Linked DNA regions of Macaca mulatta. The protein of the gene in region 1 purifies or fractionates together with the protein of each later gene. This does not show direct contact. Links are inferred from orthologs where the notes say so. Each region holds a gene or a part of one and is shown in the gene's direction. Other genes may lie near its edges. The genes, in order: SLC39A12, NAT14 and ABHD12.

Region 1 (3,647 bases):
CAGCCCCATCAAACAACCTGAGCAGCACTTGAAAGTATAACATAAACTCATTCCATGCTCTGGTTGTACCATATCCTTGTTCTTATTGATGTTAGGCTTGGACCAATCTCTTAGCCACCTAACTGACCTCTATTCCCATCAAATAGGAGGGAGAGAAAATTACTGGTTGAGGGGTTGCCCATCAAGTACGTCAATGGGTCCACAGCCTGTGTTCTCCATGGCACAAAAGGAAGGAATAAAAGAATGGGTCCTGCTCTTGGAAGAGCAGGAATTGTGACTAACAGTGCTCTCCACCATTAGCTGTGTAGCTTTGGGCAAGTTTCTTACCACTTTAGTCTTGGTTTTCACATATTCTATGGGTAAACTTTTCTCATGAAGAAAGATGTAACTCATATGTTCCTTGCAATATCCTTGCATACTGTACACAAATGTATGCATTAATTCGTTGTGCATTAAATAATTGAGTAATTGGTCTTCTAGTTGCTTTATATTATAAAAATCAAATATTTAGAAATATTTGGTGGCTTATTACATAGGCCGGAGACATTTTGTTTCTCACACTTAAAATAATAAAATAGGTTTCTTATTACTAAAAAATTCATTACTTTGGGCATTTTTCAGAACCAATGAGATTATACAGCAAGGCATAACTGAATGTAAAAGGTACTCTGCACATTGCTGGGCACATGGCTACCAGCAAATTGTAGTTAATGGTACCAATAGTTTAGTTTCAGGAGGTTATTTGGTACAGAGAATAGCTTTATTCCACTTTTATTTCAATGGATTCGCCTTTTGGGTCTTGGTGTCAGCCTTGCCATCAGCTACCAAGGTGTGGACTTTTCTTCTGGGTTACTTAGGGAACAGAAAATGGATGCCGAGGTTTTAGAAGTGGAGCCTAATATCCACATTGAGAGTTGGTCTTAGTGGAACCCCTGGGTCCCCTCTGTTTGAGTACTTGACCCCCTGCAGTTGGGTTCAGGAGGGATTAAAGTCTATGTGGTTTTATGAAGAATGTGATTATGCTTTGATTTGGAGATGGATGACATTTGTTTCTTCCTGACTCAGATGATTACATAGCAGATGCTACACAGTGGGTTGTACAGCAGACCTGAAATTAGAACCCCCAAAACTTCCACTTCAAAGAAGACTAGATTAAAATATATTGTAGTACAATATCCCCACCATGGCACAAATCTGTCTGGGAGTCAGGACAGGCGTTTCTCAATGCTTTCACTCTGTGGCTGTGTCCTGGGGCTGCTTCTCAGATCCTGTGAGAATTCTCAGGAGTTCCCCAACTGTCTCTGAAGAAAGGCAGCTTCCCTCTTGCTGAGAAAGCTTCTGGCCACGATTCCTGTGTCTTTTTCTCACTGTCCCACAACACTTATCCAAATCCCTTATGCCACATAAACTTCTCAGATTGCAGGAGCTGGGCATGTGCTTGTGGTTTGTGAAACCAATAAGGCAGCACAGTGCAGGGGAGGAAAGACTTTTCCTCTAACGTCTTAAATTCTGTAGCTGGGGCTTGTGAACTAAATGGACAAAAGATGGATTAACAGGAGAAAAAGCACACACATTTTATTTGATGTTAATATTTTTATGTGGAATAGGGGCATCATAAAGAAAGTGAAAACTCCAAAGAAGTGGTTAGACCCAGGGGGTTATAAATCATTTAAACAAAGAGTAATAAATTGTGGGGATCTGACAAGAGTAAGAAAAAAAGTGAATTTGGACTAGAGATGGTAAATTGTGGGAAAGTGACTAGGAAATATATATGTGAAACCAAATTTTTTTTTTTTTTTTTTAACAATTATACCAATGGAGGATTATTTTAGCAAGGTTCGTTTGTATAGGTTCATCTCAGCATTAACTCCCCATCTCCAGTGATAAGAACGTTCTCCTCTTCCTGATACAGCAAGGATACCTTTCTCATGGGAAACTTATGCCCCGCTTTTAGATAGTAAGGGGCAGGGCAGAGAATCCTTCCCATGCCTGCTGTTTCTCAGTTGCCTTCAGCTCAAAATAATCAATATGCTATGGTGGCATATTTTGGGGCAGTATGTTCTGATTCCCTTCAACAAAATCATTTTTGGCAATTTCCCTAAATAGGCTAGAAGAGGGGCAGATGGAAGTCGTTTGTAAAATTTTTACACCTCTTAAGTGCCAGATATCGTGCTATATGCTGAGGATAGACCTATGCAAAAAGCAGACAAAATCTACTCTTTATGGACCACTGGTTCTCATAGAGAAGAGAGAGAATAAACAAGTAAACAAAGCAATTTTACAATACGAGTGCTATGAAGAAAAATTTTTAAATGGTGTATTCCAGAATTGTGCTGTCCAGCACAGTAATCACTAGCCTGCATGTAACTGTTGGGCGCTTGATTCGTGGCTCATCCAAACTGAGATGTGCTAGTAAGCATAAAATGCACACCAGTTTTCAAAGACTGTTCAAGAAGAAAAATATAAAATATCTTTAATTTTAAAAATTTAGATTACACGGTGAAATAATTTAATCTTGGTACATAAGGTTAAAATATTACAAAAGTTACTTTTAGCTGTTTCTTTTTACTTTTTAAAATCTTGCTGCTAAAGAACTTCAAATGACATATGTGACTCATATTTGCGGTGTGACTTGTATTTCTATCAGATAGTTCTGTACTAGGGAACGCAGGTTGGGAATCTTTAGGAAGGTGTTGTGAGAGGGTGACATTTTAGCCTGAAACCTGAAGAATGAGGGGAACAAGGAGACCTGGAAGATTGTGGGAAAGAACTTGGTGAAATTGACATAAAATCACAGGGGCAGAAGTTAAGTGAGGTGCTGGACTAAGGCTAAGAGAAGGAAGGGTAGAGTAGACAGGAGCCAGAACAAAAAGAAGATTGCCAGGAGTTTGGATTTTGTTCTAAAAGCAAATGGGCATCACTTTAAAAGCCAAAGAATAATCTGTTTTACACAGGCAACAGGTCAACAACTTGTGGCCACCCTAGTTGGAGTCAGGAATTACTCTTAGTGGAAAAAGAGGGTTCCATGGAAGGGCATCATTGTTATATGGGAGTCCAACTCTTTGAATCTGGCTATTGATCCTGCCTGCTTTTCCTTTCTATTTATAAAATGATAAGTAGCAAAGACCCTGGTGGTCATTAGTGTTCTGGAACTATTTGCTAAGTTTTGTTTCTCTTGTTGCTGTCATTGTTTTCTTCCACAGTGCTTTGAACCAGATGCACTATTACTAATAGCTGGAGGAAATTTTGAAGATCAGCTTAGAGAAGAAGTAGTCCAGAGAGTTTCTCTTCTCCTTCTCTATTACATTATTCACCAGGAAGAGATCTGTTCTTCAAAGCTCAACATGAGTAATAAAGAGTATAAATTTTACCTACACAGCCTACTGAGCCTCAGGCAGGATGAAGACTCCTCTTTCCTTTCACAGAATGAGACAGAAGATATCTTGGCTTTCACCAGGCAGTACTTTGACACTTCTCAAAGCCAGGTAAGAAGGCAAAATGGCTAACTGGTTCTGCTACTGAGATACAGTCCTAGAGCCTTATTGTTTGTTCCTTATTTATTTCAAAGACATTCAAGAACTTCTAAGGGAGGTAAGTATTTGTGGGTTTTGGTTATGAGATGTTAAATGACATAATTTAAAATTCCA
Region 2 (3,689 bases), on another chromosome or scaffold:
GTTATGACCCCGCAGGGCCTGCCCTCCATCCAGATTGTCCAGACTCTACCCGCAGTCCAGCTGGTGCACACGTTTTGAGGAGAGCCAGTGATTCCCCTCCCGCCCCACACAGAGACCCCGACTCACTGCCAGCCGGGGCGGGGCGGGGCGGGGTGCTGCAGGCTGGCCTTGCCTAATAAAGACCCGAGTCTCCCCGCCTGTGTTCTGTTTTCCTGAGGGGAGCGGAGGGGGAAAGTCATGGTCCTAGCCCCCGCCTGGGAGCGTGGAGTCTTAACTCGTGCGTCCTGGGTCAGCGTCCTGGGGCCAGCCACTACGTGGGGCTCAGTTCCCCTGTCCTGAAACCAAAAGACGCAGGGGTCATTACAGTGGGGAGGTGGTGGCATCTGACTCCAGGGAGCGCCACTTGTTCACTGTAGGTCGCCCTGCTGCACCCCTCCTCTGAGAAATAGGGGGATCCTTATGCGGGAGGGCCCTGCGAGCCCGGGCGCCCCGTGGGGGGAACGGGGTCCCTGGGGATGGGGGGGTGGGGCGCCGCTGGGCTGGGGGATGCTGAGCGCGGCACCCATGAGAATCCACCCGCGGGCATCGCTGCCCCGCGCTCAGGTTGCTCAGCAACGAGGGAACGTGGGGCGGGAGCTCGCGCTGGTCCCCAGCCCGCCGCCCGTCTCCTGCCGGCGCCCGCTGCCCTTTTTCCCCAGGTCCCCTTTCCCCGTTGCTCCTTCTCTAGGGATAGGAGAGGTCACCTCCCGGCCCGCCGCAGGGTCACTGCTCCCCGCCCGCCCTCCCGGGAGCTTAGCAACGGTTGCTACGACCCGCAGCGGGCAACGCCCCGCCCCCAGCGCGCGCGGTCTGACGTCACTTCCGCCGACGACCCCCTCCAGACCCGCTCCCGAAACCCTGTCAAAGGACCAAAGGCGACCCGTGCAGGTGCTTGCGGGTCCTTGTTCTTGTGGCGCGGGACGGGGACGACTGTGGGGGAGGGGGCGCTGGGGACCGGGGCGGAGCGAGCGTGGTCCGTTCTCCGGCATGTGGGGAGGGGGCTCGTGGCCCCGTGCCTGGGAGGGAGCCCCGTGCTGCAAAGTGTGGGCGTCCACAGCGTGTTTAGGAGTGTAGATCGCTGAGTAATACGGGGGAGGGGGGTCCTGGAGACTAGCAAGGTCGCTGAGTATTGTGGGGGGCGCCTGTCCTGCCCAGAGCCTCGCTTGTAGGTCCCGAGGGCTCTCATTGTCCTGATCGGGGAAGTGCTGCTGCTGCTGCTCCCCACCCCTCGGGGGGCTTTGGGGACAGAGGTGCCCCCCTGGCGCTGACCTGCTTGTGTTCTCACCAGGTGCACGACGCCAGCTCCCTTCTTGGGGGCGGGGGCCTGGGGGCTGCCATGGCCCCCAGCCACCTGTCAGTGCGGGAGATGAGGGAGGATGAGAAGCCCCTGGTGCTGGAGATGCTGAAGGTGAGAGGCAGGGGCCCCAGGGGGCCTAGGAGTGGCTGGAAGCGGGGGCATTGCAAGTGGATTCAGCCACCCCCTCCCACCCACCTGAGCCAGCCTGAACCCCCGGAGCGGGATCTTTTCTTCCCGGTCCTCAGCCGCCCTGGGGGCCGGGAAGGTGTTCAGCAGCTGGAGGTGCTGCTGAAAGCTGCAGCAGGTGTGGCAGCCGGGGGCTCACCCCCCAGCCCTACTGGGACCGCAGCACTAACGCCCTCCCTAGTCTCGCATCTCCAGGGGGCCCGGCACTCCAGCGCAACAGCCAGCTCTGTGCCTCCGACCCCAGCTCTTCAAAGCATAGCCAGCCCCCCAGTCTAGCCTAGCAGCCCCCCTCCAGCCTCCACTCCAGCCTGAGGCAGGCTCCCTGTCCCTACTTCCCTGGCGCCTCACTGCGGCATTGCTACTGAATTGAGTGCCCCCACAGCTCCTGATTCATTCTTCCATCCATCATTCACTCTCGTTCATTCACTCCACACCCAGCGTGCCACACTGGTGACCATCGGACTGTGCTGCTTTCCCTTCCCATTTGGGAGCCCTCGCCCCACCCCGGGCAGGGTCTACCTCTCTCTAGGAGGCCCTAGTGTTTTGGATGGCTGAGCCACCCCTCCTGCCCACAGGCCGGCGTGAAGGACACGGAAAACCGCGTGGCCCTCCATGCCTTGACACGGCCGCCGGCCCTGCTCCTCCTGGCGGCGGCCAGCAGCGGCCTGCGCTTTGTCCTGGCCTCCTTCGCCCTGGCCCTCCTCCTGCCGGTGTTCCTGGCTGTGACTGCGGTGAAGCTGGGCCTGCGGGCCCGATGGGGCTCACTGCCTCCACCGGGTGGCCTGGGGGGGCCCTGGGTGGCCGTGCGGGGCTCCGGTGACGTGTGTGGGGTCCTGGCCCTGGCCCCTGGCACGAACGCAGGGGACGGGGCCCGGGTCACCCGCCTGTCTGTCTCTCGCTGGCACCGCCGCCGGGGCGTGGGCAGGAGGCTGCTGGCCTTCGCGGAGGCCCGGGCTCGGGCCTGGGCTGGGGGCATGGGGGAGCCCCGGGCCCGGCTCGTGGTCCCCGTGGCTGTGGCTGCCTGGGGAGTGGCGGGGATGCTGGAGGGCTGCGGCTACCAGGCCGAGGGGGGCTGGGGCTGCCTGGGCTACACGCTGGTGAGGGAATTCAGCAAAGACCTGTGAGGCTACAGGCTGACAGCCAGGGCAGGGAAGGAGGGAGGGGCGCCAGCACCTGCAGAGCGCCTACTGTGTGCAGGTGCTTTTACGTGCTCTCCCTCGGTGAGTCCTCAGCCACCCAGGGCCCAGAAACAGAGGCCTGCCGAGGGAGGAGCCTGGCCTGTGCCCGGCAGTCGGCAGTGTGAGGTCTGGAGTGTTTGAGCTTCTAAGAGTGAAATGACTCCTTTTCCTTCCTGGCCCTCAGGGGCCTCTCGAGGTCAGCCTCTCCAAAACCCCTACCTCAGCTCTGTCTGCACTGAGAAATCTCCCCGGTGGATGTCTGCAAAGTCTGTGCCCCAAGCCTGGGAGAGCTATCTGGGGAGGGGGAGAGGAGGCCCAGCACAATATGCCCTCGAGTTAGGGTTTGCGACTCCGCCTCCCTGGGACCCAGATTGGGTCAGATGCCTGTGCTTGGAGGGGACAAGGTTGACTGCTTAGCGGGCGCGGCGCACAGGGCTGCCAGGCCTGGCCCCTCTCCGGGAAGGTCGGTCGAGAGCTGAGATGGGCAGCCCTGTCCCTTCCCCCAGACCCATGTGGTTTTTTCCACCGTTTGTTAATAAAGCCTGGAACCGCTGTGTGCCTGTCTCATCTTTGATGCCTTTCCCAGTCTGTCTCCGGACACCCCCCGCCCATTTCTGTCTGGCTCCTCCTTTCCCCAGTTAACGTTAATTGTTGGGGGGCGGTGCTGGACTGGGAGAAGGGGAGGCTGTGAGCTCAGGGGCAGCCCTGGGCCCTGCCAGCCCTTCTGAGTCACGCTCCCTATTACCGAATTTTTTCCACCTCACAGCTGCCTGGTGCGCAGGGAGTGGGGTGTGTGTGAGTGTGTGGAGGAGTGTGTGGAGCCCCTCCCCTTCCCAAGCCTTGACCCTTGTGCTGCTTATCCCCCGACCCCAGCTCCCTCTGGGACGGTGAAGTTCAAACTCTCCTCTCTCAGCTGGGGACTGCGGGCTTCACACTCAGATCCACCAGTGACGGGGAGGACTGGAGGGACGGGTCTTTCAGTCTCTTTT
Region 3 (3,647 bases), on another chromosome or scaffold:
GAGGCTAGATGTGCAGTGTGCCACGCGGACGTGGGAGTCATGCAACCCCTGTCTTCACCAGAGACAGCTGTCAGCAGCAGAGCTTCCCCAGGGGCAGGACCCGCCAGAGGGAAGCCAGGCCCGCACTGCTCTCTGTCACTGCCTCTTTTGGGAGTTGCCATTTTATAAAGCAGAAAAATCCCACCTCAGGGTTCATGGGTTTATTTTAAATTTTTTATTTTTCAGTTAAACTTATTTTAAAGTTGTGTTCACCAAAAGCAATAAGACTATAATGGTATATAAGGAAAAAATTGCCCCCATTCTCCCCACACACACACTTTGAAGCTATATGAGCAGCCTGGCTTCTGTCTTTCTGTATTTCCTCCCAGCCACATGTGGGGGTTGTGTTTCATTGGCATGTTTTTACAATAGCAAAGTGGGGCTACCGCACCTGCACCCACAGTCACCTTGCTCCTCTCTGCCCGCAGGTCCTGGAGGTTCCTCCAGGTCTAAGGGCCTCATGGTCTTCCACAGTGTGGAGTGCTGGTTAATTCACTTGCTGTCCTGCTGGCAGATGACCTGGTCAATGTAGGACTTCTGCTGGGCCATTGCACTGACTTCACTCTGCTCTGCATGGGTCCTGTGGATTCATCCCTCTTGCTGCCCCCACACCTCACCTTCTGCTGTCTTTTCTGTGTTAGGCAACAGTCCTAGAAACTTTGGAATCCCCTTTACCTTGTTTGCCACCCTACGCTCATCAGATCCTTTAGCGCCATCCCCTTTCCTGCTGTGTATGTCCCACTCCACTAGGCACCTGAGTTATTCGCAGGCTCAGCCTCCCTAGCCTCCCTCCTGGCTGGCCCATCCTTAAGACCTGTTGGGGATCTTTCCTTCCCTTACTTGCATCTTCTCACACCTTGAGTGACCTTAGACCTTAGCGTTCCAGTCTCTACACAGACCTCGCCCTCACTGCAGTATCTGTCCCTGCCCATGCTGGCCTCAGCCCATACCCTGCCTGAGGCTGGGCCTGCAGGTCTGGCACCATTGTAAGATTGCACAGGAAAAGGACTTGGTGCTTTCTGAGAGCTTCTGCAGTGTGTGCATGTGGGTGTGCATGTGTGTGTGTACGTGTGGATGCATATGTGTGCATGTGTGTGAGTGTGCATGCTTGTATGCATGTCTGTGTGTACGTGTGTGTATTAATCCACCAGTAATCCTAATTTCCATCTCTTTATTTCCTACAGTAAGGGTTCCCTATTTCATTGATTTGAAAAAACCACAGGATCAAGGTTTGAATCACACATGTAACTACTACCTGCAGCCAGAGGAAGATGTGACCATTGGAGTCTGGTAAGTACTGGTAAGCTCTGTAGCCCTTCCAGCAGCAGGAAAAGGCCCTACATGGGTGAGCTGGTGCTGTCTTTGACACTGGCCTCTGAAATGTTGTTCATTTTTATCTTCACCTCTTCCTTTCCTAAAGGAAAGATCTCAGTACATTTGATCCTAGTGTTGAGGGATTCAGTGACTTTAAACTCTATTCCCAGGCTTTCAAAACAGCAAAGGCTTTGTGAACAGATTATTATTTTTAGAGAACCTTGTTTCTAGGAAAAACAAACAAAGAAGCTATAAACAGGATGTAAGTGGCCGGCACAGTGGCTCACACTTGTAATCTCAGCACTTTGGGAGGCCGAGGCGGGTGGATCATTTGAGTCCAGGAGTTTGAGACCAGCCTGGGCAACATGGTGAACCTGTCTCTACTAAAAATACAAAAATTAGCCAGACATGGTGGTGCACGCCTGTAATCCCAGCTACTTGGGAGGCTGAGGCAGGAGAATCACTTGAGCCCAGGAGGAAGAAGTTGCAGTGAGCTGAATTCACACCACTGCACTCCAGCCTGAGTGACAGAGCAAGACTCTGTCTCAAAAAAAAAAAAAAAGAATATAAGGGAAGAATCGCAAACACTCTTTTGAATATATCTTCCATCCAAGCGCGGTAGCTCACGCCTGTAATCCCAGCGCTTTGGCAGGCCGAGACAGGGGGATCACTTGAGATCAGGAGTTCGAGACTAGCCTAAACAACATGGCGAAACCCCGTCTCTGCTGAAAAAAAGTACAAAAATTAGCCGGGCGTGGTGGCACGCACCTGTAGTCCCAGCTACCCGGGAGTTTGAGGCAAGAGAATTGCTTGAACGCAGGAGGCAGAGGCTGCAGTGAGCCGAGATTGTGCCACTGCACTCCAGCCTGGGCAACAGAGGGAGACTCTGTCTCCAAAAAAAAAAAAAAAAATATATATATATATATATCTTTTCCAAGAAGTGAAAACAGCTTGATTTCTTTTCACATATAGCTTCGGTGATGGTGTTGGCTATCTTCTAAGTATTTACTTTTTTAAGCCATAAATTTACGTTGGACATAAGCCTCGTGACTTCTCTGTGTCTCCTTGGAATACATTTTAATGTTTTCTTCTGTACATAAATGGTGCTTCTGAACAACTGAATTAAAATCGACCAACCTCACTGTGGCATTTCCCTTTTTCTCTGAGAAGTGATCCTGAATCACAGCCCCTTTATCTAGCTGAATTTATTTTTCAGTAGCCATAACGTCCCTTTCCGCTGTCTCAGAAAACCACTGTGTATGTGAGAAGCTTCTAAATGAAATGCTGTGAGTAGCTTCCCAGTGTGGATGAGAGAACATTCAGGCATTTCTAACAGTGGTCCTTGGTAAAGAACATAAAACAAGAAGAGAGATTTTTGTTCTTAGTAGTTGGTGCTAGGATTAAAGTCTTTTGTCACTTCCTGATTTGATTTAATCTAGCATTTACTGACCAACGTGTGACTGTGGGACTCTGGGTTTCTGTCTGAAGCGTGACCTGTTTTGCACAGAGCTGCTGAGTGGGACTTGGTCAGCCCTCTTCTTGGTTAATATGAGTCTGTCCTATTGCAGGAGGGTGTTTATGGTGGTAAGACGTAGGCTGGAAGTACTAACAACATTTGCATATATTATCAGTTACCAGAAAAGGTTTTGTTTAGTGATGCTAGTGGCAAGTCTCAAGGCGGTGCCACGCTGTGTGTTGCTGTGTGTTGGTGGGTGTGGCTGCTGCCTACTCTCATGCCCTAGGCAGTCACAATGACAGTGGGCCCTCAGGTAGCAGCGGGCCCAGCTCACCAACTGCCCCCACCATCACTTCATCAAACCCTCCCACCAGCTTCCTGAAAGGAGGGCCTCAAGGCCTAGCGTGAAGCCTGGGGGCCATACCTGGCCATGCCTGGCCATCGCCTGTCTGCTGAGAGAAGAGGCCCAGGAATGGGTTTCTCTGCTGGCTAGGAGTTCCCTGGCTCTTTGTCAGGAACCCAGGTTTGGGGTGGGCTGGCTACTGGAAGCACATCTGCTCCCAGCACCTTCAAAATGTGCCGTCCTATCCCTCAAGTTTATAACCGTGTGGGAGTGATGATCATAGTGACTAGATCCACCCCAAAATGTGATCCTCTTGAACGGATCAGAGACAGAAGTTAGATGAGATGCTGAAGCTTAAAATCTAGAAAATAAGAAGTTGGCCATTAAATTTTTTTTAAAGATTCTTGTCACTGTTATCCAGAATGAATTTGAAGAAGCTTTACAGAAAAGTGATTAATTTCGACCCTCCCCAGTGATTAACAATATTCGATTTGG

The links.
Region 2: the proteins of SLC39A12 (region 1) and NAT14 purify together in Homo sapiens (co-immunoprecipitation; 3 studies listed by BioGRID and IntAct, counting the BioPlex papers as one, with this or other methods). This does not show direct contact. The link is inferred for Macaca mulatta from reciprocal best matches to the Homo sapiens genes SLC39A12 and NAT14.
Region 3: the proteins of SLC39A12 (region 1) and ABHD12 purify together in Homo sapiens (co-immunoprecipitation; 3 studies listed by BioGRID and IntAct, counting the BioPlex papers as one, with this or other methods). This does not show direct contact. The link is inferred for Macaca mulatta from reciprocal best matches to the Homo sapiens genes SLC39A12 and ABHD12.

Annotation. Positions count from the first base shown.
Region 1 is NC_133414.1:19,527,023-19,530,669, forward strand, and holds part of SLC39A12 (zinc transporter ZIP12), read left to right. Parts: intron 1-3,203; coding exon 3,204-3,485; intron 3,486-3,647. UniProt on the Homo sapiens protein: Uniporter that promotes Zn(2+) import from the extracellular space to the cytoplasm across the cell membrane. The transport activity is temperature dependent. May play a role in neurulation and neurite extension.
Region 2 is NC_133424.1:67,829,459-67,833,147, forward strand, and holds NAT14 (putative N-acetyltransferase 14), read left to right. Parts: upstream 1-857; 5' UTR 858-927; intron 928-1,327; 5' UTR 1,328-1,375; coding exon 1,376-1,447; intron 1,448-2,097; coding exon 2,098-2,646; 3' UTR 2,647-3,254; downstream 3,255-3,689. Other genes in the region: ZNF628 (zinc finger protein 628), read left to right, coding at 1-78. UniProt on the Homo sapiens protein: Probable acetyltransferase. May act as a transcription factor that regulates the expression of coproporphyrinogen oxidase by binding to a promoter regulatory element.
Region 3 is NC_133415.1:58,819,626-58,823,272, forward strand, and holds part of ABHD12 (lysophosphatidylserine lipase ABHD12), read left to right. Parts: intron 1-1,223; coding exon 1,224-1,329; intron 1,330-3,647.